4 linked regions of the Stegostoma tigrinum genome follow. The protein of the gene in region 3 interacts with the protein of the main gene of each other region in a biochemical or structural test. Links are inferred from orthologs where the notes say so. Each region holds a gene or a part of one and is shown on either strand. Other genes may lie near its edges. The genes, in order: ube2m, ube2f, rbx1 and ube2g2.

Evidence for each region.
Region 1: the proteins of rbx1 (region 3) and ube2m form a complex in vitro, tested with the Homo sapiens proteins (15 studies listed by BioGRID and IntAct, with this or other methods). The link is inferred for Stegostoma tigrinum from reciprocal best matches to the Homo sapiens genes RBX1 and UBE2M.
Region 2: the proteins of rbx1 (region 3) and ube2f form a complex in vitro, tested with the Homo sapiens proteins (2 studies listed by BioGRID). The link is inferred for Stegostoma tigrinum from reciprocal best matches to the Homo sapiens genes RBX1 and UBE2F.
Region 4: the proteins of rbx1 (region 3) and ube2g2 form a complex in vitro, tested with the Homo sapiens proteins (3 studies listed by BioGRID). The link is inferred for Stegostoma tigrinum from reciprocal best matches to the Homo sapiens genes RBX1 and UBE2G2.

What each region holds. Positions count from the first base shown.
Region 1 is NC_081391.1:19,879,775-19,887,319, forward strand, and holds the start of ube2m (NEDD8-conjugating enzyme Ubc12), read left to right. Parts: upstream 1-4,533; 5' UTR 4,534-4,666; coding exon 4,667-4,775; intron 4,776-7,545.
Region 2 is NC_081360.1:19,939,750-19,947,193, reverse strand, and holds the start of ube2f (NEDD8-conjugating enzyme UBE2F), read left to right. Parts: upstream 1-4,442; 5' UTR 4,443-4,594; intron 4,595-7,444. UniProt on the Homo sapiens protein: Accepts the ubiquitin-like protein NEDD8 from the UBA3-NAE1 E1 complex and catalyzes its covalent attachment to other proteins. Together with the E3 ubiquitin ligase RNF7/RBX2, specifically neddylates cullin-5 (CUL5).
Region 3 is NC_081391.1:5,552,192-5,559,347, reverse strand, and holds the start of rbx1 (E3 ubiquitin-protein ligase RBX1), read right to left. Parts: upstream 3,015-7,156; 5' UTR 2,957-3,014; coding exon 2,882-2,956; intron 1-2,881. UniProt on the Homo sapiens protein: E3 ubiquitin ligase component of multiple cullin-RING-based E3 ubiquitin-protein ligase (CRLs) complexes which mediate the ubiquitination and subsequent proteasomal degradation of target proteins, including proteins involved in cell cycle progression, signal transduction, transcription and transcription-coupled nucleotide excision repair.
Region 4 is NC_081360.1:17,279,982-17,287,280, reverse strand, and holds the start of ube2g2 (ubiquitin-conjugating enzyme E2 G2), read left to right. Parts: upstream 1-4,281; 5' UTR 4,282-4,385; coding exon 4,386-4,428; intron 4,429-7,299. Other genes in the region: pofut2 (GDP-fucose protein O-fucosyltransferase 2), read right to left, coding at 27-277, 4,063-4,199. UniProt on the Homo sapiens protein: Accepts ubiquitin from the E1 complex and catalyzes its covalent attachment to other proteins. In vitro catalyzes 'Lys-48'-linked polyubiquitination. Involved in endoplasmic reticulum-associated degradation (ERAD).

The sequences.
Region 1 (7,545 bases), about 14 Mb from region 3:
AGTAGTGAGTTGAGGAAGAGAGAGTCTGAGGTGGACCATGTGAAGGTGAGATTAAAGTGGAATTGGAAGCAAAACTGATGATGTATTCCAATTTAAAAGGAGAGGCTGGGCAAAGCATCAGTGACAGTTATGAATACTCTGAAGGATGAGCTGTGGGATCAGAACATGAGATGCTCCGGAAACAGGCAAGTGCAGTTATGCAGTTGCCCATAGCAACATCTTTAATTTAAGCAAGTCAATTGAGAAGCCATTCATTGTCAGGACAAATGCAGCCAGGCTAACGAAGATGTTGTTGGATGGTGACCAGTTTGGCCTCCATTCAAGGAGGAAGTGGAGAGCCCCCAGATTGCCCTGGAGGGTTTCAGAAGTTATGGAAGGATTGAGTGTCCCATGTGACAACCCACTAGGAAGTTGGAAACCATCAGGAGTCTCACAGATGTAAGCTGGATGAGTTTTTCTTTGCAATATTGATTAAGGAATAAATATTGATTGCCATATTCCCATTGCCTACATTTCTGTCTTAGGTTTGCTGCAGTGCTCCAGCGAGGCTCAACACAACAAGGAACAAGAAGATGACAATGAGCACCTCATGTTCTGCCTAAGTACCTTACAGCCCTTGGGAGTCAATGATGAGTTGAACAATTTCAGAGCATTAACAACTATCTCCACGTTCATTAGCCACCCCACACCCCCAAGCTTTCTTCTGCATGGATTATTCCCAGCACAGCCAACCCATTTTCAACTATTCAGACTTGTCGTTAGCACCCATTTAGCATTTATCTCTCTCCCTGTTTATGATCAGCAATCCCTTCGGATCCCTCTGGGCATCATCTCCATTTATTTGTCTCACTCATAAAGTCATACAGCCAACCATAATCCCAAACCATGGCTCATATCCCTGCAAACATTTCTTATTCATGTACTCATCTAAATGTCTTTTAAACATTGTAACTATATCCACATCCACCATTTCCTAGAATCATCAAGTCATACAGCATTGAAACAGACCCTCCGGCCCAACCAGTCCAGGCCGAACATATCCCGAACTAAACTAGCCCCACCTGCCTGTTCCTGGCTCATATCCCTAAAAACCTTTCCTATTCATGTATCCATCCAAATGTCTTTTAAACATTGTAATTGTACCATGCATCCACACTTCCTCAGGAAGTTTATTCCACACGCAAACCACACAGCACGTAAAACGTTCGCCTCATGTCTTTTTGAAATCTCTCTCCTCTCACTTTAAAAATGTGCCCCTTAGTCTTGAAATTCCCAATCCTAGGGAAAAGACAACTCCATCAACTCTATCTATACCTCTCATTATTTTATAAACTTCTATAAGTTCACCTCTCAACACCCTACGTTCCAGTGAAAAATGTCTAAGCCTATCCAGCATTTCTTGTAAACAGCTTGATAATATCGTTCCTATAACTGGGCAACCCGAACTGGACACTGTATTTCAGAAGAGGCCTCACCAAAGTCCTGTACAATCCGAGCATAACGTCCTAACTCCTATGCTGAAATGACTGAGCAATGAAGACTAGCATGCCAAGTGCCTTTTTAACCATCCTCTCTATATGTGACACAAACGTTAAAGAATTATGTACCTGCACTCTAGGCCTGTCTGTTCTACAACACTACCCAAGGCCCTACCTGTGTTTGTTGTACCAAAATGCAATACCTTACATTTATCCAGATTGAACTCCATCTGCCATTTCTCAACCCATTAACCCACTTGAACAAGATCCATTTGTAATCTTAGAAAACATTCTTCACTGTCTACGATGCCACCAATGTTGGCGTCATCTGTAAACTTACTAACCATGCCTTCCATATTCTCATTCAAATCATTTATATAAATGACAAACAAAAGAGAACCCAGAACTGATCCCTGTGGAACAGTGCTGGTCAAAGACCTCCAGTCTGAAAAACAACCCTCCCACCATCACCCTCAGTCTCTTGCTGTTCAGCCAATTTTGTATCCAATTGGCAAGATCACCCTGAATCCCATGTGATCGTGCTTGACCACTTAGTATGCCATGTGGAACCTTGTTAAAGGTGTTACTTAAGCCCAAGTAAACAATGTGTACTGCTCTTCTCTCATCAATCTTCTTAGTTATTTCATCCAAAAAACTCAATAAAGTTTGTGACACATGATTTTCCTTGCACAAAACCATGCTATTACTATTCATTCCTTGCCTCTCCAAATGCACATAAATCCATATAACTCAGTTAGCTCAGTTGGCTGAACAGCTGTTTAATAATGTAGATTGATACCAACTGTGTGGTTTCAGTTCACATATGGACTGAAGCTACCATGAAGCGTCCTCCCTTGCCTGGGGCATGGTGATCCTTAGTTTAAAATATCACCAATCTTGTCTCTCTCGAATGAAAGAGTGGGACTGTGGTGACAACTTTTCCACCCACTCAACCCGAACCCCACCCCACGTCTGTTATCAGCATAAATACCTCTACCCACCTGTGGCTTTCTCTGCTGAAGAAGGATCACTGGACTGAAAATATAACTCTGCTTCACTCTCCACAGATGTTGCCAGACCTGCTGAGTTTCTCTAGCAATTCTGGTTTTGTTTCAGATTTCTAGTATCCACAGGTCTTTGTTAAATATAGGCCAGGACTGGTGATGTCTCCCTTGCTCTCCTTTGAGATAAGGGAAATGGAAGCTTTGACATTTATCTGAGAGGGCAAGAGATGGCATCTGCAACCTTCATTGTTAATGTGGGTATTTATGCTTAAGTCTCTGGAGTGGAACGCACATTTCTTTGACTCAGGGATGAGTATGCTCCCAGCATGGTACATCTGCTATAGAATAAGGAAAAGAAAATGTCTACACACACAAACATAAATGTGAATTGCTTTGTCACGCGACTGACCTAACTGACAGATAATCCCATTATCACGTTGTTTGTGCCTGCTGTGTTTCCCACATGGCAACAAGTGTCTATGCTTTAAAAAGAACTTTAAATCGCCTATATAACAAAGCGTGAAGCTGGATGAACGCAGCAGGCCAAGCAGCATCTCAGGAGCACAAAAGCTGATGCTTTGGGCCTAGACCCTTCATCAGGGCTCTGATGAAGGGTCTAGGCCTGAAACGTCACTTTTGGACCCCTGAGATGCTGCTTGGCCTGCTGTGTTCATCCAGCTTCACACTTTGTTACCTTGGATTCTCCAGCATCTGCAGTTCCCATTATCACTTTAAATCGCCTGTGATGTGTCTGGAGCCTCGTGAGCCATTCAAGCCCCTTAAGTGTGTCACTCACTGTCTCTTGTGTCACCATCCACAGAATGTGTCGCTTATTGCGAAATGTGTCTCTCATTTCCCACCTCTGTGCGTAACCCATCTTGTAAGCGTTATAAGTTCTGAGAAAGGATCACCGGACCCGAAATGTTAACTTTGTTTTCTCCGTCACAGATGCTGCCAGACTCGCTGAGCTTTTCCAGCAGCTTTGTTTTTGTTCCTGATTTACTTTCGGTTTTTATTTTGCAAGTGTTTCACCCATTGCCCCCCATCATGTGATGCCCATCTCCCCTTGTATGGCACCCATTTTCCCCCCATCGTGTGACACCCATCTCCCCTTGTGTTATAGCCATCTCTCCTTCTCCTGCACTGCTCAAGGTGCAGTTGTGTAAGAACCGAAAGAACTGTGGATGCTGTAAATCAGGAACAAAAACAGAAATTGCTGGAAAAGCTCTGCAGGCCTGGCACCATCTGTGAAGGAAGAGACAGAGTTAATGTTTTGGGTCCGGTGACCCTTCCTCGTGCGAACTGTTCATCCACTTCACCAACCACTTCCATCCCAACCTAAAGTACTTAGGTTTTTGTGCAATGATAATGGGAACTGCAGATGCTGGAGAATCCAAGATAACAAAAGTGAGGAGCTGGATGAACACAGCAGGCCAAGCAGCATCTCAGGAGCACAAAAGCTGACGTTTCGGGCCTAGACCTATCTAGGTTTTTGTGCAGTGGTGTTGCCGTGTGAAATGAGCAGGAACTTGAGCATTCAACACAGTGCGCCAAACTGCAGGAGATCCGCCTCTCCCATTCAGCCCCGCCCCATTCACTCGACCACGCCCATGTCACTCACCTGGCCACGCCCCCTCAAATCAGTCCCGCCCATTTGCAACCTGCCGCGCCCCCTTTTCGGCCCCTAGACTTTGAATAGTCTCCTCCCCCATCATTCAGCTCCGCCCCTCCTGCACCGGCGCCCTCACCTCTAAATTCCGCCTTGTCACTTAGCCACGCCCACCTATTGTGACCCGCTTCACGTTTTCTCGCTCCGCCCCCCCAATGTATCCATACTCACACAACTGACCCCGCCCATATCCTTCAGATCAGCCCTCTCCCATGTAGCCCCGCCCCATTCTTTAGTTCCGCCCAGTCACATGTAGCCGCGCCCACGCCGGTAACAGCGCCCGCGTCCTCTAGACCCGCCCCCAACGCTATTAGGCCCCGCCCCAACGCCTTAGCCGCACCCATTCCCTTGGCTCCGCCCAAGCCCGCTAACCATCCACGGGCTGACCCCGCCCCCTTGCCCTCTGACCCGTTCCGCTCCCACGCTGCCCCGCGCTCTGCTCCCTGCCCGAGCGGCGGCTCCGTGTCTCCCTCCGACCCTCAGCCTGAGTCCCGAGGCCCCGCCGCCGCCGCATCATGATCAAGCTCTTCTCGCTCAAGCAGCAGAAGAAGGAAGAGGACGCCGCCGGAGCCGCCAAGACCGGCACCAAGAAGGCGTCGGCCGCGCAGCTCCGCATTCAGAAAGGTAACGGGAGGCCGGGGGCTCGGCGAAGCCAGGGCCCAGGGGAGGGTGAAGGGATCGGCGGGCCAGGCCTCTCTGAGGCACCGGGGCAAGGGGTACTGTTGTCGGCGGGGGTTGGAGACCGGCCTCTGACCCACAAGGAAGGCCTGGAAGCAGCTAGGCCTTAAATGGAGCCTGGGATCCGATTCGACCGGCTTGCTTCATGTGGAGAGGGCTCTGCTCCGAGGTCAGGACTGCGAGAGACCCCAGGATTGCCGGCGGGCAGAGACAGAGGAGAGGATCTGGGTGCTGGGCTCCTCAGAACGCCCTTCCCCAGGGTTGGGTGCAGTTGCCCCCACCCCTTTCCTCCCCTCATTATGGCCTGACTGTGGGGTGAGGAGAGGGTGTCAGGGATTTCCCCCAGGTTCAGTGGGCTCCTGATGAAAGCACTGATCTGCCAGGGTGAGGCAGCTACAGCCAACTGCTTCCTAACTGCCTGGTAACTGGTACCAGTTCTGGTCTTTGACCACCGTGTTGCCGTCTCTTGAGGGGAACCGCAGTTGCAATCTGTCACCTCAGCCCATCCGTCACCCCCTCCCTTCGACACTGATATAATCCCTACCCTCTCAATGCCTCCACTCTTGTAATCTGCCACCGACACCAATTCCAGGGTTACCATTCCTTGGACTCCTGAACCGGTTGTCCCAGCACCCAAGAAGTTTGAAATTTGCCAACAAAATATCAGGTTTCTTCTCCAAAGCGTTAAGACAAAGAAGGATATGTAGTCCCATACTTGCAATGCTAGTTTGAAATTGGGGCTAGATGGAGTTTTATTAAAATCACAAAACATCAGTTGCAGAAGGTGGTTTTCACACATTGGCAAGTTGATGACTATGCTTGAATGGGATGGCCTGTGGGGGCAAGGAAGAAGTTGGAGGTTCTCCAAACATAGTTGTTAGAGTGTGCTGCGCTGCACTCTGGGGAATATTTTATGTTATCATTTAAGAGGAAGCTGGGGAAGCCTTTGAAAGGCTGCAATATAAAATATTTCAAGGGAAAGTAACTACATAGCTCCTGTTGAAGTGCTCTTATTGACTCGAAGGCAAAGTGCTGTAATTTCTAGATTTTATTTGGCCTGTACACTTGGAATGTACTGCTGCTGACATCCATCCACATTGGAAATCTCCTCACATAACCAGTCATCCATTTCTAATCTTTGACAAAAGGTGGCGGCAGTAGCTGGTACTCCAGCTAGCCATTCATCATGCCCACTCATGGACAGGCATTGGATTTCTGAATGCTGTTTCACTTTCTTTCCTAAGCCTTTATCCAGCTGATCAGTCATTGGTTTTGACCCAAGGTTGACAGGGATAGGTTGGGGGATGTGTCTGGGTCAGATGCAGTTCGGACGGTTGATATGGACTCGTTGGTCCAAACGGCCTGATTCCACAGTGTGGGGATTCTATGAAAATGTGAATGCCATCCCCAAAATAACTGCTGCTCTGCAGAATTCTGTCATTACCTGAGCCCCACGTATTTTTGGATTGTGTAAGGGGACACATGTTGGGAAATGCTTTATCCAGTGTCAACGATTTACAGATCACTGGACCATGGAATGCTCTGACCCAGACGGCAGTGGAGGCCAACTCTCTGGACAGTTTCAAGAAAGAGATAGATAGAGCTCTTAAAGGTAGTGGAATCAAGGGTTATGGAGATAAGATAGGAACAGGATACTGATTGTGGGTGATTGGCCATGAATGGTCGTGCTGGCTCGAAGGACCAAAGGGCCTACTCCAGCACCTGTTGTCTATCATGATAGGGGCAGGAGGAACGGACCATTACTCACAAGAGGACCTAAGGTAGGGAAATCCTGAGGTTGTATTGATCAGATAAGGAGAAAGAAAGGGGAACTGACCAAATACAAAGAGAGTACAGGTGCTCTTTCTACATAAATATGTTTTTAGAATATTTGTCAGTTCTCCAAAATGTTTTGAAAGATTTATATTGGAAAATGAGCACTGTTCAGTCAATTTCAAGGTTACTTTATTTTCTAAATATCTAATAATTTGAGTGCCACAAGTTAGAAAGCACTATATGTGAGGGGTGTTCTTTATGGTGTTGGCCTCTTATTTAAGGGAAGAAGTAAATATGTTGGAGACAGTTAAGGTGAGGTTTAGCAGACTGATACCTGATGAGCGGGTTATCTGTAGGTTGGACAGACAGGGCCTGTTTTCACTAGTTTAGAAGGGGTGACTTGATTGAAATGTGTAAGGTTCTGAATGGTCTTGATAAGATGGACTTGGAAAAGCTGTTTCCTCTTGTGGGTGAAGCCAGAGCTTGGGGACCCTGTTGCACAAAGATGAGGGATTTATTGTTTTCTGAGAGTTGTGTAACTTTGCCTCAGCGGACAATGTAGTTTGGATCACTGAATATTTTTAAGGCAGAGGTAGATAAATTCTTGATAGCTTTTGATTCAAATGACCATGAGGAGCAGATGAGAATGTGGAATTCAAAAAGCAAACAAATCAGCCATAATGTTATTGATTGGTAGAGCGAGGTCAAGGGGCTGAATGGCCATTTCTGCTCCAATTTTGTATGTCCGTATGGAGGATCTTTTCGTCTTTAAAAAAAGCGTTCTGATTGCTTTTAGGTACTAGCAGCTGATTATTGTTGAGGACCCTATTGTGTCAATCGTCCTTGCACTTCCTCTCTCTCGACTAATGTGAATTCTGTTCCCAGCAGCTGGTCAGCTCTTCCCCATCTGCCTGTCTGCCTGAGGTTATCACCCCTTCAA
Region 2 (7,444 bases), on a different chromosome or scaffold from region 3:
CCAGTTAGTGGCCTGTGCCTGAGTGCTGTCCAGGCCTCGCTACACTACAGCAAGAACTGCTTCAGTATCCGAGGAGTTGCAAATGCTTCTGAACAGTGTGCTTTCATTAGCAAACCTCCAGCCTTATGTTATATCGGAGGAGATCCGTTTTATTAAAGATTAACAAAATTCCTTCAGTTATACACGATTCCTCTTAGCAAAAACCAAGAATTTCAAGTACTCATCTGTAACTGCCCTGCCACCTTCAAAGACTTATGTACTCAAACCACCATGGGTCTCTCTATCCCCGCAACCCTTTAAAACTGTACCACTAAACTTGTCCTGTCTCTTCAGGGTCTATCAAAATGCTTCACCACGCACTTCCCGCTAAATTCATCTGACATGCATTTGCCCATTTTCACCAGTCTGTGTCCTGCTACTACTGTCCTCCTTATTGTTTATTCTACTTCTAAGTTTCATATTATCTACAAGCTTTAAATATCCTGTGTAGCCAAATCAAGATGATTGATATTAAAAGGTCGTACCTCCCTAACTCACCAGCCCTGAAACAGGGCCTTTGTCAGACTGGAGAATTTGCTGGACTACAGGAGATTGCTTGTCAGGATCAACCTGGGAGTTTCTAAACCATTCTTTTCTATACTCCCACACCACTTTACAGAAATTAAACGACAGGTACTGTCTTTGTGTTAGTCAATTGCCTGAAAATCAAGCAAGCCTATAAAGGCCTATGCCTAGAGTTACTATTACTGGTTCTGATAAAATGGGGTTCTCATGTTCACTTACCTGAATACCTGTGAAACTCATGTGATATACTTAGAAGAGATAAGCAATGAGATGATTTTGTAGATTAGGGGTTGGAATTGCGGTGTTTACATTGGGTGACTGTCCTATAGTTATCAAGCAATTGGATGGGGGATGAGGGGTTGGAATGGCACATGCTCCACTCCCCTAGAACATAAGCAGGCAGGAAGGAAAAGTTATGTCAGATGAAAAACTTTAAGTTGGATGAATCCCCGCTGGCTTCAGCCGTCAGAGTTTCTATTTTATACATTGCCGGGTGGGAAACTGAGGAGAGAAGAAGAGGAATCCTGTGGGACTGAATTTTGCAATTTGAATTTAAAGAGAGTCTACTCACAACTGGTGAAGCAGCAATCACTTAATATTCAGGGCAGCCAGATTATGGTAGCTCAACGAAAGAATGTCCAGAATTATAAAAAGAAAACAAGAAGCCTGAAGAAGTATTTCAAAAACCAGATAAAAGGCATGACAAGACTTTGTGGTTTTACTTTTCACAAAGCAATTTAAAATTTAGTTAAATTAAATTATTTGCTGTAAAATTATGTCTGAGGAAGCAAGCAGATCTTTAATTTAAGCTAATTGCTAATAAAACGATGTAATGCTACAGACTAATAGATGATATTGATGATTACTTTTATTTGACTAGTTATTAGGCACAGAAACTGTAATAACTTCAATGTGCCGTATATACATCACTGCAACTGCTTTAAGGTCAAATGACTTCAATTTTAAAAAAAGTGCCCGATCCAGTTTGGCATCAGAAGTCAAGCAGAATGATTGGTCTTTGACTGAGAGATTGTAAATACCAAGTGCAATGACTTTCTTTTGCCACCAGATGGTGATGTCAGCTCTGCATTCATCACCTTGCACTTTTGCAGCATATCTCCACTGTACAGTTTCCTGAGTTGTCCAGTCCACGGTGTGAAGCAGGGGAGGACCCAACTAGAACTGGAACACAGAAGGCTTTTCACAGATCCACGAAACAGGCCAGTATAGCCAGGATCTAAAATTGATTTCCCTAGCAAGATAAATATTGGTGAACCAGAGGCACAAGTATCCACAGTGTTATGATATCGTGCATTAATGGAGTCCTGGCTCTAACATGGGTAGGAGTGGGAACTTCATATTCCTGGCCATTTGGCCATTACTGCTTTCAGGGAAGATGAGGAGCAAACAAAAGCGGGAATGATCAAAGACACTTCGGGCACTAGAGAGGTTGATGTTCAGTCTTTGTACAGTCAGGGAAAATAACAAGGTATAAAGTGAAGTGAATTTGCCAAACCAGAAGGTAGATAACTTAACCTGGGTTGAAAGAAGATCTAGCTCAGGTGGATAGGAACCAAAAATGACACGTCAAATGAGGATAGGGTTTAAATATAGATTCTTAATTTCCTATGAATGGCACCAAAACTGCAACTGTACATTTCTTTCATGGTTCCCATCTGCATTTTTCAAACCAAGTTGGCAGAAGGTAATCAGATTTTGGATAAAAATTTTAATTCTGGGCATGTGAATAAGTTTTGATTGAGTTATGAATCTCACAACATGTCCTGGATTTTAAAAAATTCTTTCATTAGTTGCTAGCAAGGAATGCATTTGTCACCCATTCCTAATCACGCTTGAGGATAGTTAAGAGCCAACCACATTAGGCTCAATTACCCCACATTTTACAGGACCATCCGATAAGATAATGGCAGAGTTTGATGCTTCAGCCAGAGCTCATCCATTCTGCCCGTTCTTGTTCTTCTTTTCCTCCCTCTTTGCCTCCCTTCTGCGGTTTACCTCTCCCCTTCCGTCTTCTCGGCCTCCCGGCTTTGGAAGTGGGGGCAGCAACCAGCTGCCTGGCCTAGTGCAGCGTGTGGCTGCTGCCAGTGTTCAGAGCATGTAGAGACCCCCTGCGCTTACCTGCTGCTGGGAGCCCTTGGATCGAGACTGTGAGGTTTGTCTCTTTAACTTTGGTTATACTGTATGGAACTGTAATGTAACTTTCTTTCCATTTCTCTATTCTGTAACTGAGGATTGTATGTGGTAATCTGTACCTCAGATGTCACCATGTCCAGGTGACATTAGTTAGCGTGTAGCTAGTCCTGTAACTGAAGAAGCTGTACCTCACATAGCACTGTAAATGGCAACTTATCAACTTTTCACTGTACTCATTTGAGAACATGACAGTAAAGCTAATTCTTTCAATTATTCCATGAGGCAACAATCATTTAGAACATAAAACATAGAACAATACAGCGCAGAACAGGCCCTTCGGCCCTCAATGTTGCGCCGACCTGTGAACTAATTTAAGCCCATCCCCCTACACTATCCCATCATCATCCATATATTCACTTATCATCTGCAACCAGAGGATGGAAAGTTGGCTTCCAAGAGGAATGCAAGGCCAGCATTTATTTCACCTGTGACAGCTCTCTGGTATACCAATGATTCTTAACATTCCTGTCAGCTCCTAGAATATATCTGCATTCTTTAAGGCAGTAGCCACTGAGAGAGTGAAATCTTTTTATCCTACTCACTGCAAAAACAGCTTGAATAAATATGCAAACATGATAAGGAAAATCCCATCTAAGCTAAAGATATGCATTACATGTGATTAAACACAGATATTTTGTCAATTAAATAAATTATCCTGTAACTACCAAAGACAGCTATTCTTTCACCACCAAAAGAAAAGGATCTTGATGGCTTTAATCATTAATTAAATGTTTCAATATTAAGCAGTTTTTGAGGATCTGATTAAATGGATTAATTTTTTCAACACTCTTTGGAGGCTTCAAAAAGATTTATACTTGGTTATTTGCTGCCAGGGCCTTTTTTTTTGATAAGTACTGTCCTTTCTGTTCTCCATTGCTCATTCTCACACAATATACTAAATACCTTGTATTGAATTGTCAGATGGTCTAAAACATTACCTCAGGGTTCTGGAACCTCAGTTTTGATTACTCCTCCCTGCACATAAATCACTTAAAAGCTGAAAAAAATGATAATACAGCAGGATGATCACAAAACAAAAGGAGAAGTTAAGTTAGATGTTTGAGCTTTGAATGTTTCACACCCAGAATATATGTCTGAGAGGAGAACTGTACTCATTTTTACTCCCAGCGTTTCACCAGCGACCCCACTACAAAACCTCACTTGTTTTCTTTGCAGAAATCACACAGGGGACACAGAAGGTAAGGAATGATGGCAGATTTCCTTCCACAGACTGCTTCAGTAAGCCAGCTAAGCCTTTACAACAGCCTTACCATTGGTGACATCAGTGAGACTGACTTTAGAAGCGAGATTTTAAGAATTTAAATAAGTTTCACCAGCTGCCAAGGTAGCTTTATAACTGTTCTACCCCCAGGGCAGATGGATGAATGATCCAGTGTCATGACCCCTCTTTAGAGTGTAAACCCATGAATGTGGCCAGAGATACAGAAATGCTACAAAAACAAGCCTTGGAAACCAGAGAAACAATCTCCTTACTCACCAGGCAGTTCCTTCGCCTTCTGGAAACTGATCCCGGACCGAGGCCGTACCGAACCTCTCGGTGTCCGGACTTGTTCCTTGGCTCCGTACCGCTTGTTGGTCCCTAGACAACGGCGGACAGAAAAAGGTGACGGACCCGCGGCCTGTAGCGGAAGTGGTGGGCGGTGGGGCGGAGGTGTTTAGCGGTGGGACCAGGTGAGGAGATTTCCGGTAGCGGCCTGTCGGCGCGGCCGGAGCCGGTTGAGGGATCGGTTGCTGGAGGCACCGGGAATGGTGCGGGAGCGCTTGGTGCTGTCGGTGACAGAGAGGGAGAGCCGAGGTGAGGAGCCCTTCCGTAACCGTGGGAAACATTTCTCAAGTGAGCCGCACGCTGCTGTGGGAAAGAGGGCAGTCAAAACGCGCACAGAAGGATCCCACAAGCCGTGTTGTGACCCTGACCAGATATATTCTGGCTTTAATCAGGTTAACTGAAGGGAAGTTATTGGGCATCAGGGAGATCACCCTGGAAATAGTACCGCAGGCTCTTCTACATGCCCCCATGAGGGCGAACATGGCCTTGGAGTATCTGGAGGTTGGCACCTCTGCCTGTGTAGTCTGCTCTAACCCAGAGCCTACCGCAGTGCTGTGTTTCCAGTATCTACTGGGCTTTATCATCAAAAATAGGGTTTTAACCTCCAAGTTTCTGGGTAGGTGAGCGATACACCAAGAGTGGTGTGCATCGTCGGCATATATGTTTAGGGAGAGAGCTTGTATATAAACATACATGTTGTGTGCGGCATCTATAAATGTATATCTACTCCCAACAAGCCTATAGTTCAATTCATATGATGCCCTTTCACAGTGGAACATGGATACAGCTTAAAAACAGGAACCCCACCGAGTGGGGATAATTGAGTTAGTCAAAGGTGTACTTTACGAAATACCTCCAAGAGGATGACAGACACATACGATTGTTTTTAGAAATCCAGACCATCTGGCATAGATTGCACTATACTACAGTTTGTATTTGAGTAATCTAGTCTGCTGTTTGATATTCTACTAAATACGATTTAATACCATTACCAATTTGGATTTCATTTTGTTGCGGTTTTGTGACCTACAAGTTCTGTCAGTGGTGTGGTTTGCAGCATTACAGACACTGTTGTTGTTATAGTACATGTTCCATAATTTTAGATGTGCATGTATTAAATTTGACAGGATATTGTGGTGAGCGTTGGATGTTCGTATTTAGTAAGCCATGATAGAACATCAGAACTTAGTTTTTGTATACCTATAAGCTTTTATTTACAGCCATGTTGTACATCATGCACCTCCAACTAACAATCCTCCGTTCCGCCTGCTCTGAGTGTAGGTCAGTCCCCAATTAATGCTCACTATCCTTTAGATAAATTAACACAGCGATAAACAATTCCTCCCGTGTCTTTAAATTTTTTTTAAATTGTCATACGCATAAAGACTTCCATTTTGTGTTCAGAGCCTTGCATTGCAAGATCACCCTCCTCCAGAACCCCTAATAACTTCTTTGACCTCCTTTACTGAAAAGGGCTAACAGTTAATTAATTTAATTACTTTAAACCAGGCCATTTATTTCAGAGATAAAGGTGTAAAGCTGGATGAACACAGCAGGCCGAGCAGGAAGGCTGACATTTTGGGCCTAGACCTTTCTTCAGAAAAAAAAGCAGAAATTGCTTTCATTTCTGCATTAGTTTCAAACTAACAGGATCTCACTACAACTTTGGCACACTCATGTTTCATAGAGCATTTTATCCCAAAGTGCATGCAGTATCTTCAGTACTCCTACTTTACAGAATACAGCTTAAAATATTTGTCAAAGAGAATCACGTTTCCACAAGGGTCAGTTTTTCAACACCCGGAGTACCTTCAACAACTCTCATTTCTTAGCTTCGCGGGGTAAAGGATGACATTTCTCATTCTCTTTGAAAAGAAATTCAGTGAAACCAAGTACTCTGGTGTATGAAGCTTTATGAAAATAATAACCAATTTCATTCATGTTTTTCCGACCATTTAAGGATGGGTAGTTAACTATATATTTTTGCCAGATTTTCAATTTATTTTATTTGATTTGCCCTTGAAATTTACTGCTGCTTTTTCATCAAAAAAATACTTCATTTCAGCACCTCAAAACTAGTACCTTGGTGCACTCAGAATCAACATGAGCTTACCTAGCCAATCAAACTTTGTGCTGTAATTACTTTGTCTCTTCCTCAGATACCACTTCACTGTTCTGTGATGACCTTGTACAACAGTCTCAATTTTACTCGATTTAATTTTAAACCAGATCCAGTTTGGCCCCACGGCCCTAACTTCCAATTTCAAATACTGTGTAATCTTACTATCGAATCCCACCACAGCAGGTGGAATTTGAATTCAATAAATGTTTGGATTTAAGAATCTAATGATGACTTGTGAATCCATTGTCGATTTGTCATCTGGTTCACTAATGTCCTTCAGGGAAGGAAACTGACATCCTTACCTGGTCTGGCCAACATGTGACTTCAGACCCACAGCAATGTGGTTGACTCTTAACTGCCCTCTAGGCAATAAGGGATGGGTAATAAATGCTTCCTAGCCAGCGACGCCCTCATCATGTAAATGAATAAGGAACTTTAAAAATTGGACTCGTCATACAAATACAGTTTCTACAAGAGCAGCTCAGAAGCTCGGAAAACTGCAATGAATAAGTTACCTCCTGACTTCCGAAGCCAGTCCATTATCTACAAGTCCCAAATCAGGAGTGTGTTTCAGTACTCCCCACTTGCTTGGATGAGTTCAGCTCCAACAATACTCAAGCTTGACACCATCCAGGACAAAACCACCCACTTGATTGACACCACATCCACTCCGTCCACCATCAACACTCAGCAGCTGCAGTACGTACTATTTACAAGATGCACTGCAAAAATTCACTGAAGATCCTGATACAGCTAATTCCAAACCCGCAACCACTTGATCAAGAAGTACCAGGATAGCAGATACATAAGAACATCACCATTTTCAAGTTCCCCTCCAAGCCATTCACCATCCCGACTTGGAAATATGTTAAGTGTTCCTTCACTGTTGCCGGGTCTAAATCCTGGAATTGTCTGTCCGGGGACATCAACACCACCTTTTTGAGGGATACCTGTGTCCACAACTGAGTAAATAAACT
Region 3 (7,156 bases):
AAAAATGGACATAGTAAATGGACAATTGCACGCCCCCTTTCGCACTGCGCTCTTGAAATATCTTAGACTGGAATAATGCTTTCCTAGTTCTGATTTCAGACCCTGGTTTGTGGTGCTGTGTACGTGCAATGTCAATAAAAGCATGACATGACGTTGAAGAGACACTTCCACTGCATCATCCCATCAAGTTTGTAAATGCTTCGTATACCGCAAAACTTTGAACGCAAAATAGTTTAAAAAAAAACTTACACAATCCCTCAATTCAGTTTTCAAGTAACTCTTAAAATAACCTCAAAAAAATGAAAGAAATATCATTGGACTTCTGTACCATCACATTATTTGCAGATATTGGACAAACCACACCATAACCAAGTGGGAAATAAGTGGACAGTCTGGAAAAACTCACATCAGCAGAACAACAATTTAACATTAAGCTCTAAACTGAATGTGATATTAGCTTCAAATACTTATGACACTTTAAAAGAGGATCACTGCCTACTGATGGGGGGGGGAGTGGGAGGAAGAGAAGAAAAGAGAGAGAAAAAGAGACCTAGACAGAGAGTTTTTCTTTCCTTCATCTACTTACAAGTTCTGAATCTATTACTAAATTCCTTTCCCAATTCATTCCTAGGATGCAAATATCAACAAGTTTGGCATTTGCTGCCCATTCTAAAAGGCCTTGAAAGGAGTTAACTTGGCAACTATTAGAAACTGAATTTAGCATATTCTAGTTTCCGTAGTCACCTCCAGACCTACTACATTCCTGATCACTGCAGCATCAGCAGCCATGCAGTTCATAAAACAAACACAGTCATTGATATGTCCACTAAGAAATTCAGGGTGAAGGTACTAAGGTATAGCTTAGATGTACTGCAATTAAAGGGAAGCAGGATTGGTACTTAGGGAGAAAGGAGTAAAAGAATATGCTGGCAGAATGAGATAATGTAATAAGAGAAATTAGTGAGAAGCAAATACTGGCAGACGAGACTGCACTAAGTGTAACACAGGTATGTCAGATAAAGACTGAATGACCAACTGCACAGCTTTCTATAAAGGGCCAAATGAAGAAATATCATTAAAGACTGCACTCACCACAAATGTTCATGCTTAGGCTGCACCTAAATTTGAGAAACTCAAGGGAATTTAAACACTTTGGGGCAGTAAGTTCCAAACTATTTTGAAAACAACAACCTCAATTGGAGGAGCAAAAGCAAAAGCAATCATATCACAAGAACTGTCTCCCCTTAGATAACAACCAGCATCACATCCCAGACAGCATCCAGCCTTACCCTGCTATTGTCTGGTACTCTCTATGGCCAATGGGCTACTTCATTTCTTTACCACAGAAACAAACAAACAAACAGTCATATAATGTTTCTTGCAGAAGCACTCCCATTTATAAAGTCTGGTCCCTGGTATCGGGTGCCCCCAAGCTGAACAGTGGCGTGTCTCAGCCAACCCAGAACTGTGATACTACAGAACAATCTGGGATCCAACATCAGTCACCTGAAGACTAGAGTCTATATTTCTGCTCTTTTCTGGCCAACATGCCAGATCCATGACCCAGATTGGCTCACGTTAAATCACTGCACACCCCTAGAGTCAACCACATTGGTGTGGATCTGATGATACATGTAGGACAGACCAAACATGGGCAGCAGTTTCCTTTTCTAAAGCAAATTAATGAACCAGATGGGTTTTTCCAACAAACAGCAATGATTTCATGTCATTATTGGACTCCTCGTTCCAATTTTTAATTAGTAAATTCAAGTTCCACACCTGCCAAGACAGGATTTGAACTGAAATCACCAGAGCATTAGGAACAATACCACTAGGCCTTCACACCGATCCAGGTACACAAAATAACATTTATAAAAAGACATCATAAAATTTATTATTATGTATTTGTAACAATTACATGTCAACCTATAATACAACTTTTAAGTTTACACAGCATTTTGACAATGAATATTTGTTTTTCTCTCAAATAACTGAGAAAAGTGAAAACATTTGTGAACAATGGAAGTGTCTCTATTACTGTTAAATGCATGCAGGGACAAGGGCTACAACCCCTCAAGTCTGATGACAAGTTTACTTCTGAACTCACTTGCACCATTGAAAAGCTTTTTTTTAAAAAAAAGCAAGAACTTCTTGCACAGGGTAGGACTCATTTTTTTCTAATACATTGAAATCATTTAATATAAACTGTAATTAACTTAGTTCTCTGGGATAAAGGAATAAAGTTGAGGACTCAATACATTTAACTTTTCTCTTCACAGATGCTGCCAAACCCAGAGTTTTTCCAGCAATTCCTATTTTCAATTACAAAGCAATTCTTACTTTTATTGTTAAACAATATACCAAAAATGCACGTACGAATGTGAGCGGGAAGTGAACTGTTTGTTTCTGTAGAGTGTTAAAATGGGTCCGTACTGGAAGATACTATCAGGAGCTGCTGGTAACAAGTCCACACCCGCTCCTCTGGTCATCTGTCTCCCTGAGAAACAGACGTGCACCCAGCGGCCTAAAAACAAACACATGTATGTGACAGAGGCCCAATGACAAAGCAGCAAGCGAGCAGTCTGCGCCTCTCAGGAAGGGCAGGCCGGGGGCGTGCGAGCGTGTCAGACTAAGATGGCAGGAGGTGGGAGCGGGATGAGATTTAGGGGGCACGGAGACACTAGGGGCGCAAGAACCTGCCCAATGCTCTTACGGTTAGCTCACGGCCACCATTAGTCAGCTGGTGCTGCCAATTAAGCCGCCAACATCCGGTCGTGTTTCGATCCGCTTCAAACTGCCAGATTTGGAAACATCACACGTTTCAATACCCAGCCCTGCTCCGTTGGAAGCAGTCTGTATCCTGCATCCTAGCATACTGTACCTTCTTAACCTCGAAGCGCTTCTTCCCGCCACTGTTGGTAGAGCTTGGTGCGTCCACATCCATTGCCGTCGCCATTTTGTCTGCCTTCAGCCGGTGGCTACCTGTTGCCAACCAATCAGCTATGTTCAATTTGCACATGCGCAGCCGACTGGTTAACGCCCCGCCTACTTAGCGTCACGAGGATCCCGACAACACTAAACTTCAAAAACACTGTACTCAGCCCCGCCTCCTCCGGTATGGAGGGGCCAGGAGTCCACTAAGCTCCGCCTCTACGTCACATGTTCTCGTCTACACCCCGGAGTTTCCGTTTCCTCTCTTGTGGAGGTACCCAAACAAAAGTCCTGCCCCTTCGCAACGCGTTTCTGGCCACGCCCACTGCACGAAGCAGAGCTCCACCTCCTCCCGCTATTTCGCCACCAAACCCGCTGTACATCAAAGGCCTGCCCACCTACTGGCACGTAAACATCACCGTGTGGCGTCACAGAGCCACGCCACTTTCCGTAACGTCACCCCAGTAAAGCCTCGCCTCTCTATGTCGTCACCTAGTACCGCCTCCGATGGTAGGACCACCCGGATGAGATGCACAAAGCCCACCCCCAGAAGTGACCGCCTACACAAAGCACCGCCCCCATCTCGGCATGGCGCCACCTGCAGGTAGTGGTTTGCCGTGATTTCTTCCTCACCCCCACGAGGCCATGGCCGCTGTTATTGGGGATCATTGCCCTGTTGTTACCATCCTCACCACCAGGAAATCAAATCCCTTTGTGTTTCAATTATGTGGAATTTGATTTTTATTGGAGTTGACGTCAGTTGTGCTTCATCGAATACAACTGAGCATGTTGAACGTGGAATATTCCGAGGGGTTTGATAAAAGCAAATAGTCGAAGCAAAGATAGAATGCTGGCAGCTTGAACGCAAAATTCTTCCATAAAACTTATGGATACTGGAAGAGTGGTAAAAAGATAAGCAGGGCCAATTGGAGACCAAAGTGGGAATTTGTGCAAGACTTGGTGGAGATGTGAAATTAGCACTTCAAAACTTTTCACAATGTAGAAGATACTGATCACACCTTAGCGAGACTAAAACACATGAATTGGAGGCTGGAGCAGGCCACTTGGTGCTTCTAGCTAGCACGGCTGATCTAATTTCCATCAGTCTTCACAGTGGAATTCACCAGCAGCATACCAGAACTGAAAGAATGTCGATGAACAGAGATGAGTGTGGTGGCCATCACTTAGGAGAACATACTTGCAAGGCTGAAAGGTCTGGAGGTGGATAAATCACCAGGACCAGTTGGACTACAAGTGTCTGGAGGAGATAGCTGAGGCGATTATGGATGCATTGGAGGATCTTTCAGGAATTACTGGAATCAGTGAGGGACCTAGAGGACTGGAAAATGGCTGATATAACACCTGGTTAAGAAGGGATGGAGGCCAAAGACTGGAAATTATAGGCCAGTTAGCCCTGGTCAATCATTGGTAAGATTTTAGAATCCATTATTAAGGAAACAAGATGGTTTTTTTTAGATTAGATTCCCTACTGGGTGGAAACAGGCCCTTTGGCCCAGCAAGTCCATACTGCCACTTGAAGCATCCCACCCAGACACATCTCCCTATAACCCACGCAACCCTGAACACTACGGGCAATTTAGCATGGCCAATCCACCTAGCCTGCACATCTTTGGACTGTCGGGGGGAAACCGGAGCACCCGGGAGGAAACCCACGCAGACACGGGGAGAAAGTGCAAACTCCACACAGACAGTCACCCGAGGGCGCTGTGAGGCTGCAGTACTAACCACTGAGCCACCGTGCCGCCCCAAATTGTGTTAGAGGCAAGGTATTGGTTGAGCCAGAGGAATGGCTGACTGGCAGAAGGCAAAGCGTGAGGAATCTGAGCATGCTGATTAAAAATATCGACATTGAAAGTTCTTCCATTTCACATTGAAATGTTTTGAAGTGATTCACCCAAATAACTACTTTTAAAATTGATCCACAGAATAATATAGCAAAGAAGGAGGCCACTTGGCTATTATGTCATTACTGGTCCTTCAAAATAACAGTCTATTACACGGCTCTTTATCCCTGGCCCTGGAGGTATTTTCCCTTCAGATATCTAGCTACTTTTGAATCTGGTTCCGTCACGTTTTCAGTGATTTCCAGATCACAAGTGCACTTCCCTCGTGTCATCTCTGTTCTTTTGCTCATGAAGCCTGACATCGGTGTTGGGAAAGTTGTTGGAGGGGATCCTGAGGGACAGGATTTACTTCTATTTGGAAAGGCAAGGACTGATTAGGGATAGTTAACATGGCTTTGTACATAGGAAATCGTGTCTCGCTAATTTGAGTTTTTTGAAGAAGTAACAGGATTCATGAGGGCAGAACAGTGGATGTGATCTATATGGACTTCAGAATGGTGTTCGACAAGGTTTCTCACAGCTGACTGGTTTGTAAGGATAGATAGCATAGAATACAGGGGGAACTAGCTATTTGGATACAGAACTGGCTCAAAGGTAGAAAACAGGGGGTTGTGGTGGAGGGTTGCCTTTCAGACTGGAGGCCTGTGACCAGTGATGTGCCACAACAATTGGTGCTGGGTCCACTGGTTTTTGTCATTTGTACAAATGATTTGGATGTTACTGTAGGAGGTATGGTTAGTAAGTTTGCAGATGATGCCAAAATTGGAGGTTTAGTGACAGTGAAGAAGGTTACCTTAGAGTACAACGGGATCTTGACCAGATGGGCCCAATGAGCTGAGGAGTGGCAGATGGAGTTTAATTTAGATAAATGTGAGGTGCTATATTTTTGAAAGGCAAATCAGGTCAGGACTTGTACACTTAATGGTAAGGTCCCGGGGAGCGTTGCTGAACAAGACACCTTAGAGTGCAGGTTCATAGTTCCTTGAAAGTGCAGTTGCAGGTAGGTAGGATAGTGAAGAAGGTGTTTGGTATGCTTGCTTTTATTGGTCAGTGCATTGAATAAACGGGTTGGGAGGTCATGTTGTGGCTGTACAAGACATTGGTTTGGCCACATTTGGAGTGTTGTGTGCAATTCTGGTCTCCCTCCTATAGTATGTTGTGAAACTAGAAAGGGTTCAGAAAAGATTTACAAGGATGATGCCAGGGTTGGAGGGTTTGAGCTATAGCTAGAGGCTGAAGAGACTGGGGCTATTTTCCCTGGGGAGTCAGAGGCTGAGGGGTGACTTTTATAAAGGTTTATAAAACCATGACGGGCATGGATAACGTAAATAGGTATTTTCCCTGGGATGGGGGAGTCCAAAACCAGAGGGCAATAGTTTTAAGTTGAGAGGGGAAAGATATAAAAGGAATTTAAGGGGCAACTGTTTCACGCAGAGAATGGTGTGTATATGGAATGAGCGGCCAGACGAAGTGGTCGAGGCTGGTATGATTACAACATTTAAAGCATTTGGATGGGTACATCACTAGAAAGGGTTCAGAGGGATTTGGGCCAAATGTTGGCAAACGGGACTAGATTTATATAGGATATCTGGTCGGCATGGACAAGTTGGACCAAAGGATCTGTTTCTGTGCTGTCTATGTCTATGACTCCAAGTGACTACATGGTAGACAAGTGCAGCAACATTCAACAGAGTTAACATTTCACGTCTGGTATGGCTGTCCTTCAGAAGTCATACTGAACTCAAATTGTTAACTGTTTCTCTCTGCATAGATACTGCCAGACCTTTTGGGTTTCTCTAGCATTCTGTTTGCTTCAGTTCCAGCATCTGCAGCATTTTGCTTTTATTTAAATACTTTGTCCAATGTTTCTTAACCAGGTTCATACTTCATTTTTAGGTATGTCTGACACTGCTTCTGGCATGCCCTCCTCCATTCTTGTTTGAACCAGGGTCAATCGCAAGTTTGTTCATTATGGGAGCGCGCTAGGCTGTCAGATTAGAGGTTGTAGTGGAATGTAATTCTACTGCTGATAGTACACAGTACCTCATGGATGCTTAGTTTCGAGTTGCTAGATCTCTTTGAAATCTATCCAATTAGCTGATGGTAGTGCTGCACTATGAGGCAGGGCAGTACAGTGTTTGGCACTGCTACCTCACTCCGCCAGCAACCACAGGTTCAATTCCAGTCTTGGGGGACTCTCTGTGGAGTTTGCACATTCTCCCTTTGTGTGCATGGGTTTGTGCCAGGTGCTCCGGTTTCTCCCACAGCCCAAAGATGTGCAGGCTAGGTGGATTGGCCATAGTAAATGCAGGGTTATGGGGATAGGATGGATCTGGGTGGGATGCTCTTTAGAGGGTCAA
Region 4 (7,299 bases), on a different chromosome or scaffold from region 3:
CAAAGGCAGGTTATAATTAAAGGTACCTGCAATAAACTGCTCGTGTTCAATGACAGGAATGTTCTTATTTAAGCTTGGCACATCAAAGAATAAAGACCAAGGGATTCGAACTTGTTTAAGACCTTCGCTCTGCCAATGGTAGAGATGCCCCCAGGGAGGAAGAACCAGCACCCAGTCTTCACTCTTCAGCAGGGTGCCCACTAAGCCCGCCATACGGAGATAGACATCTCGACGAAGATTAAATCCCTCTGGTGGATTCACATCATATAATAAATACCTAAAGGGATATAAAATATTGCACTTCATAGAAATATTCTATGTCCTCTGTTATTAAGAGTCACAAAGTGCATTGTAATAGATTATATTTCTGCAGTACCGGAAAGAGTAGCTAAGGGTGGGTGAGGACTAGGGCTGAATGTGATGAGAATGGTGTAACAGAATAGGATGTGAGAATTTAATTTCACTTCCGACTGGTGATGGCAGTGCATCATCTCTAGAAGCTGTAACTACAGTGTGACAAGGTAAAGGCAGTTAAAGTTTTGATGATAAAGTCTTGTAGCCATCAGCGGGTCTGATAGAATTATGCATAACATTTAATACAACAGAGCTTAACCCACCTCATTTTCTACTGATTATATTCCTCCTGTCATTTTGGCACCCTTTGCCATTTTTATTGCCAATAGCAAACCAGGAGAACTGTCCTTTCGGCTCGTAGTCATTCACCTTATAATTTCCCACACATTGTTAGCTCTGTCACACCAATAGGAGAGAATCTACAATGGTTTGCTTTTTAAAATTCCTATAGGTTACCAGCAGCAAGGTCTAGGCCCGAAACGTCAGCTTTTGTGCTCCTGAGATGCTGCTTGGCCTGCTGTGTTCATCCAGCTACACACTTTGTTATCTTGGATTCTCTAGCAACTGCAGTACCCATTATCTCTGATCACAATTTTAACCTCAGTGCAAAGCCTCTTCCAGGGATGCCAAACCTGAAGTTACCCTCCTCCCTTTGGTCCAATCTCAGGGAATCTCTCTCCCACTGCAACGCTCTTGTAGCTCTCTGATGAAGGGTCTAAGCCCAAAATGTCAGCTTTTGTGCTCCTGAGATGCTGCTTCGCCTGCTGTGTTCATCCAACAACACATTTTGTTATCAAGGTCACCTAGGGATGGCCAATAAATTTTGACACCGCCAATGACATTCATATACCACAGACTAATTTGAAAGAGGGGGCAGCACAAGTCGAACAGACATTTCCCTTGGAGTTCTCAATATCAAATAAGGACCCATGAATTCTCATGACAACAGTTACACACCATCCTCACCAACTATACTACTATCACTTCCCTACAGTAACCCGCCAGATACCTCCATATTCCTCCAAGCGACACACAACTCCGCCATTCTGCAATTATCCAACCACTCGTCCAAACCACCCCAACCCTCACCATTCCTCTTGTTTTCCCACACTATTGCACTTCTCGAAATACACTCAACACCAGCCCACCACTCCCCAGAATGCACCACATCAGCACTTACCTCTGTTCACCACCAACATTCCCCTCTCCACCACAAGCAGGGTTGCCTTCCCCCAGATCACCACCATCAGCTTCATCCACCAAATTCTTCAACCGCTCTCTGCCCATCTTCCCTCCCCACACCTTCCTCCCCCATATTCTCTTTCCTGTCTCCTTGTACCCCTTCCCTAATCCCCCTCACTTGACCATTCCCTTCAACACCCCGACTCAACTCCCCATTCCTGCCTCCCATCTTACCCCGATTCTCCCTTGCTATGCCACCGATGTTGTGCACCATCTGCCTTTCCCTGTTTCCCCCCCTCAAACTTCACCTTTCCTCTCTGACTCCAGCTTCCCCTCTCAAACCCCTAGCCTTCCCCTCCCCCTTGAACACCAATCTTCCCCCCAATTCCCTCTCTCCTTACCCCCTGGCCTCACCCGACTCCCACTTCCTTCTGTCCCTAACCCCAACTCTGCCTCCCACTCACCTCCCCCCTCACCTTGCCCCAGCCTCCCTCATCTCTCCCCCCGGCCCCCCATCGTCCCATTTCACCTTCACATTGCCTCTAGACTTGTGATCTCGCCCTTGCCTCCCCCATTTCCCCCTCTTCTATCTTCAATGTTTTGCCCCTCCTGACCATCCAATGCCCCCTCTCTCCCTAGCTGCCTTGCTCCACCCTTTCTCCCTCCTCTTTTCATCCGCCCTCCACGCACCACTTACTCTCCATGTCCAGCTTACCTCACTCTCCGTCCCTTCCAGTTTTTGCTCTCCCTAATCTCTATTCACTCCTTGCTCTCCCCTCACCCTCTCTCCAACCATTCCCATCACCTCCATCGCTGCTCCCTACTGCCTCCCCCATTCCCTAACCCACAACAGCAGTACAGTGGCTCACTGATTAGCACTGCTGCCTCATATCACTAGGGACCTGGGTTCAATTCCAGCCTAGGGTGACTGTGTCTGTGTTACTTTCTTCTGGGTGCTCTAGTTTCCTGTCAGTGCAAAAATGTGTAGATTAGGTGGATTGACCACCTGGGTACAGAAAATAAGTGCTGGTCCACTTCGCAACACCCATATCCCACAAGCGTTAGAAAGAAAAATTACACTGTGGACTACTATCCTATAAGTAACCAAAAAGCATTCTTGTCCATTACCACCATTATTGCTGACCCTGTTGAGCATTACTGTCACTACTCACCGCTATTGCTGACCCTGTTGAGCGTTCTTGTCCATTCCGTTATTGCTGACCCCGTTGAACATTACTGTCACTACTCACCATTATTGCTGATCCTATTGAGCGTTCTCATCTGTTCCTACCGTTATTGCCGACCCCGTTGAATATTATTGTCACTACTCACTGTTATTGCTGACCCCATTGAGCATTCCCGTCCGTTCCCACTGATATAACTGACCCCGTTGAGTATTACTGTCACTACTCACTGTTATAGCTAACCCCGTTGAGCGTTCCCGTCCATTCCCACCGTTATTGCCGACCCCACTAAGTATTACTGTCACTACTCACTGTTATTGCTGACCCCGTTGAGCATTCTCGTCTGTTCCCACCGTTCCATTGAGTATTACGGTCACTACTCACCGTTATTGCTGAACCCGTTGAGCGTTCTCGTCCGTTCCCACCATTATTGCCGATCCCGTTGAGTATTACTGTCAATACTCACCGCTATTGCTGACCCTGTTGAGCGTTCTCGTCCGTTGCCACCGATATAGCCGACCCTGTTTGTATTACTGTCACTACTCACTGTTATTACTGACCACGGTGAGCGTTCTCATTCGTTCCCACCATTATTGCTGACCCCGTTGAGCGTTCTCATCCGTTCCCACCATTACTGTCGACCCCGTTGAGTATTACTGTCACTACTCACCATTGTTGCCAACCCCGTTGAGTATTACTGTCACTATTCACTGTTATTGCTGACCCCGTTGAGTATTACTGTCACTATCCACCGTTATTGCCAACACCATTGAGTATTACTGTCACGACTCACCGTTATTGCTGACCCCATTGAGCATTCTCGTCCGTTCCCACTGTTATTGCTGACCCCATTGAGCATTCTCGTCCGTTCCCACTGTTATTGCTGACCCCGAAGAGCGTTCTCATCCGTTCCCGCCGACCCCGATGAGCATTCTCGTCCGTTCCCACCGTTATTGCCGAACCCGATGAGTGTTCTCGTCCGTTCCCACCGTTATTGCCGACACCACTGAGTATTACTGTCACTACTCACCGTTGTTGCCAACCCCGTTGAGTATTACTGTCACTACTCACCATTATTGCTGACCCCGTTGAGCGTTCCCGTCCGTTCCCACCGATATAGTCGACCCTGTTGTGTATTACTGTCGCTACTCACCGTTATTGCTGACCCCGTTGAGTATTACTGTCACCACTCACCGTTAATGCTGATCCCGTTGAGTATTACTGTCACCACTCACCATTAATGCTGATCCCGTTGAGTATTACTGTCTCTTCTGACCGTTATTACTGTTACTCCTCTCCGTTTTGACCGCCCCTCTTGATATTTTTGCTCCCCGTCCGTTACCTGCGTTGTTGAGCCACCGACGCCTCGTTGCCGCCTGTCTGCCCGGGACTGAAAGCTCCCCCGTCCCCGTACATTTGGCCGCCGCCGAGAGCAGCCACGCCGACGAGGAGACAGAGGACACGGAGCAACAACGCCATCTTGGCATGTCCCCCACGGGGCGAAGACAAAGGAAGGAGCGGAAGAAGCGCGGGGGGGTCCGTCGCTGAATTCCCTCCCTCCCCACCGGAAGTAGGACGGGTGCGTCGGTGTAACCGTTCCCCCCTCTTTTACTCTCCTTCCTTCCCCGCAACCTCTCGTTCGTGACGTCGTTAACGGTCGCGGCGATGGCAGGGACGGCGCTGAAACGGCTGATGGCCGAGTACAAGCGTAAGTTGTGAACGTAGAGGTGAGGGGTTTGGCCGGGGGAGAGAGAGAGGCCTCAGCGCCCGGGAGGGCATTGGAGCCTTGGGACTGCCCAGAGGCGGCGGATCATCGGGCGTTGGGGCCACTTAAAGATAACAAAGTGTGAAGCTGGATGAACACAGTAGGCCAAGCAGCATCTCAGGAGCACAAAAGCTGACGTTTCGGGCCTAGACCCTTCATCAGATGATCAGACCTCTGATGAAGGGTCTAGGCCCGAAACGTCAGCTTTTGTGCTCCTGAGATGCTGCTTGGCCTGCTGTGTTCATCCAGCTTCACACTTTGTTATCTTGGATTCTCCAGCATCTGCAGTTTCCATTATCACTGGGGCCACTTAAAGAGCCCACTGGAGATGGGGGAAGGCCTTGGGTTTGAAGGCACCTGAATTAGGGAAAAACGTAGGGAATATTGAACGGGGAATTCTTCTCCTGGACAGGCAGACGGTATTGAGACCATCAATGATCCACATCGTGCGATCAGGTCTCAGAGAGGTGAGAGTGTCGCTGCTGATCCAAGGCTAAATGTTAATTAATACCAGCACATTCCAGTATAGTTCCTGCTGTTCTGAGGAAGGGTCACCGGACATGAAACTTTAACTCTGACTCTATTTTTTATTCACAGATGTTGCCCGACCTGCTGAGCTTTTCCGGCAACTTCTGTTTTTGTTCCAGTGTAGTAACCACTAGTTTGTCATCGTTATGATTACTCTAAACTGAGTGACATGGCTATGGGGCTGACATTGCTAAGTAATCCAGGGGCAAAAGGGAGCGAGAAAATAAATCTATCAGTAGAGAAAAAAATGCTAGGGAAACTAATTGGGTGAAAGATCGAGAAATTCCCCCTGGTCCTGATGTGTCGCGTCCTCGGATATTAGAGGAAGTTGCTACAGAGATAGTGGATGCACTGCTGGTGATCTTTCAGGGTTGCTTACATTCTGGAAAGGGCCCGAAAGATTGGAAAATTGCCAAGGTAATATCTTTATTCCGAAAGGGAGGGAGACAAAAACAGTAACTGTAGAACTGATAGCTTAATATCTGTTGTTGGTGAAATGTTAGTCTATTATAAAGGAATTAATAGTTTTTCAGAAATGCATAACATAATCAAGCAGAGTTACGATGTAGAAATCATGCCTGACATTTACTAAAGTTCTTTTGAGGACGTGGCAAGCAGTATAGATAAATGGAAAACATTGGATTTAATATATTTAGGTTTGCAGAAGGTGTTTGATAAGGTACCACATATTAGGCTAATTAATAAGAGTCAATGGAACAGGGAGTTGTACATTAACATAGATAAGGTTCGTTTTATATTAGTTAGCTGGAGTTGGGATAAAGGGTTCAATTCTTGGATGGGGATCTGTAACAAATGGAATACCACCTGGATCAGTGCTGACATAATAATTATTTATCATACAAATATTAATGACCTAGATGAGGAAAGTTTGAGGATGACACAAAATAGGTGAGTGGTGAAGATAACACAAAGAATCTGTGGAGGGATATGACATATTAAGTAAGTATACAGAAACTTAACAAATGGAATGTAATGTTGGAAAATGTGAGGTTATGCAGTTTGCCAGGAAGTATAGAGGAGCTGAATATTATTTCAATGACAAAAGACCACAGAAAGCTGCAGTACAGAGGAATTTGGGAGCCGTCATCCATGAATCATGAAAAACTGGCAATCATGTTCAGTGGGTAATAGGAAAAGCAAAAGGAATGTTGGCCTTTATTTCAAAGGAAGTTAAGTATAAAAGTAGGAGGGCCTTGCTAAAACTACACAAAGCACCAGTCAAAACCCAGTGAAATTTGGCAAGCAGTTTTGGCCCCCTTAGATAAAGAAAGATAAACTTGTAGTAGAGGCAGCCCAGAGAAGATTCGCTGGACTGACATCAGGTATGGAGGGATTTTCTTGCATGGATTGGTTGAATAGGTTCAGCCCGTACTCATTGGAATTTGGAAGAATGAGAGGAGACCTCATTGAAACATGTATAAGATTCTCGGGGAATTTGATGGGATAAATGCAGAAAGGTTATTCCTCTTTGTGGGAGAGTTAAAATAAGAGATCACTCTTTTAAGATAGAGGAGGAATTTCTTCTCAGAGGGTAGTAAATCTGTGGAATTCTTTACTGCAGAGGGCTATCGACACTTGGTCCATAAGTTTATTCAAGGTGAAGATATATTTATAATCAGTTAACGAATCAAGGATTATGGGGAAATGGTAGGAAAGTGGAGTTGACGATAATTAGATCACACTAATTGAATGTCAGAACACGTTTAATCATCTGCATGGCCTACATATCTTGCATTTAAGGTCTTACGGCAGCAGCAGCTTTGCATGTTGTCAAGTAATGTCGCCGGTGTCCCCAAACATGTTACAAGTTTAATTCTGCAAGAAAGGCTTAACTTAAATAACTCCTTTATAAGACCTCAGGCTATGCTATAGCACTTCACAACCAGTGAGATACTTTTGAAATACAGTCACTGTTGTACATTGCACAGCAAGTGATATGCAGGAAGATCTCACATACAGCAATATCATAACAACCTGCACTTTATTGACAAAAAACAGGGGAAACACTGTTAATGCTAGAAGCCAGGAACCAAAGCAAGTAGTGATGGAAAAACTCTGGTCTGACAGCGTCCATGAAGGTAGAATCTTATTTTAATTCACTTGTGACTCATGGGACAGATTCTGCAGGACCTGCTGACTACTTTTGAAAAATTCTTTCATGTGTCATTGGTTGGAGCAGCATTTATTTCCCATTCCTTGTTGCCCTTGAGAAGGTGGTTGTGAATTGTCTTCTTGGACTGCGCCAAGACATGTGCTGTAGGTAAA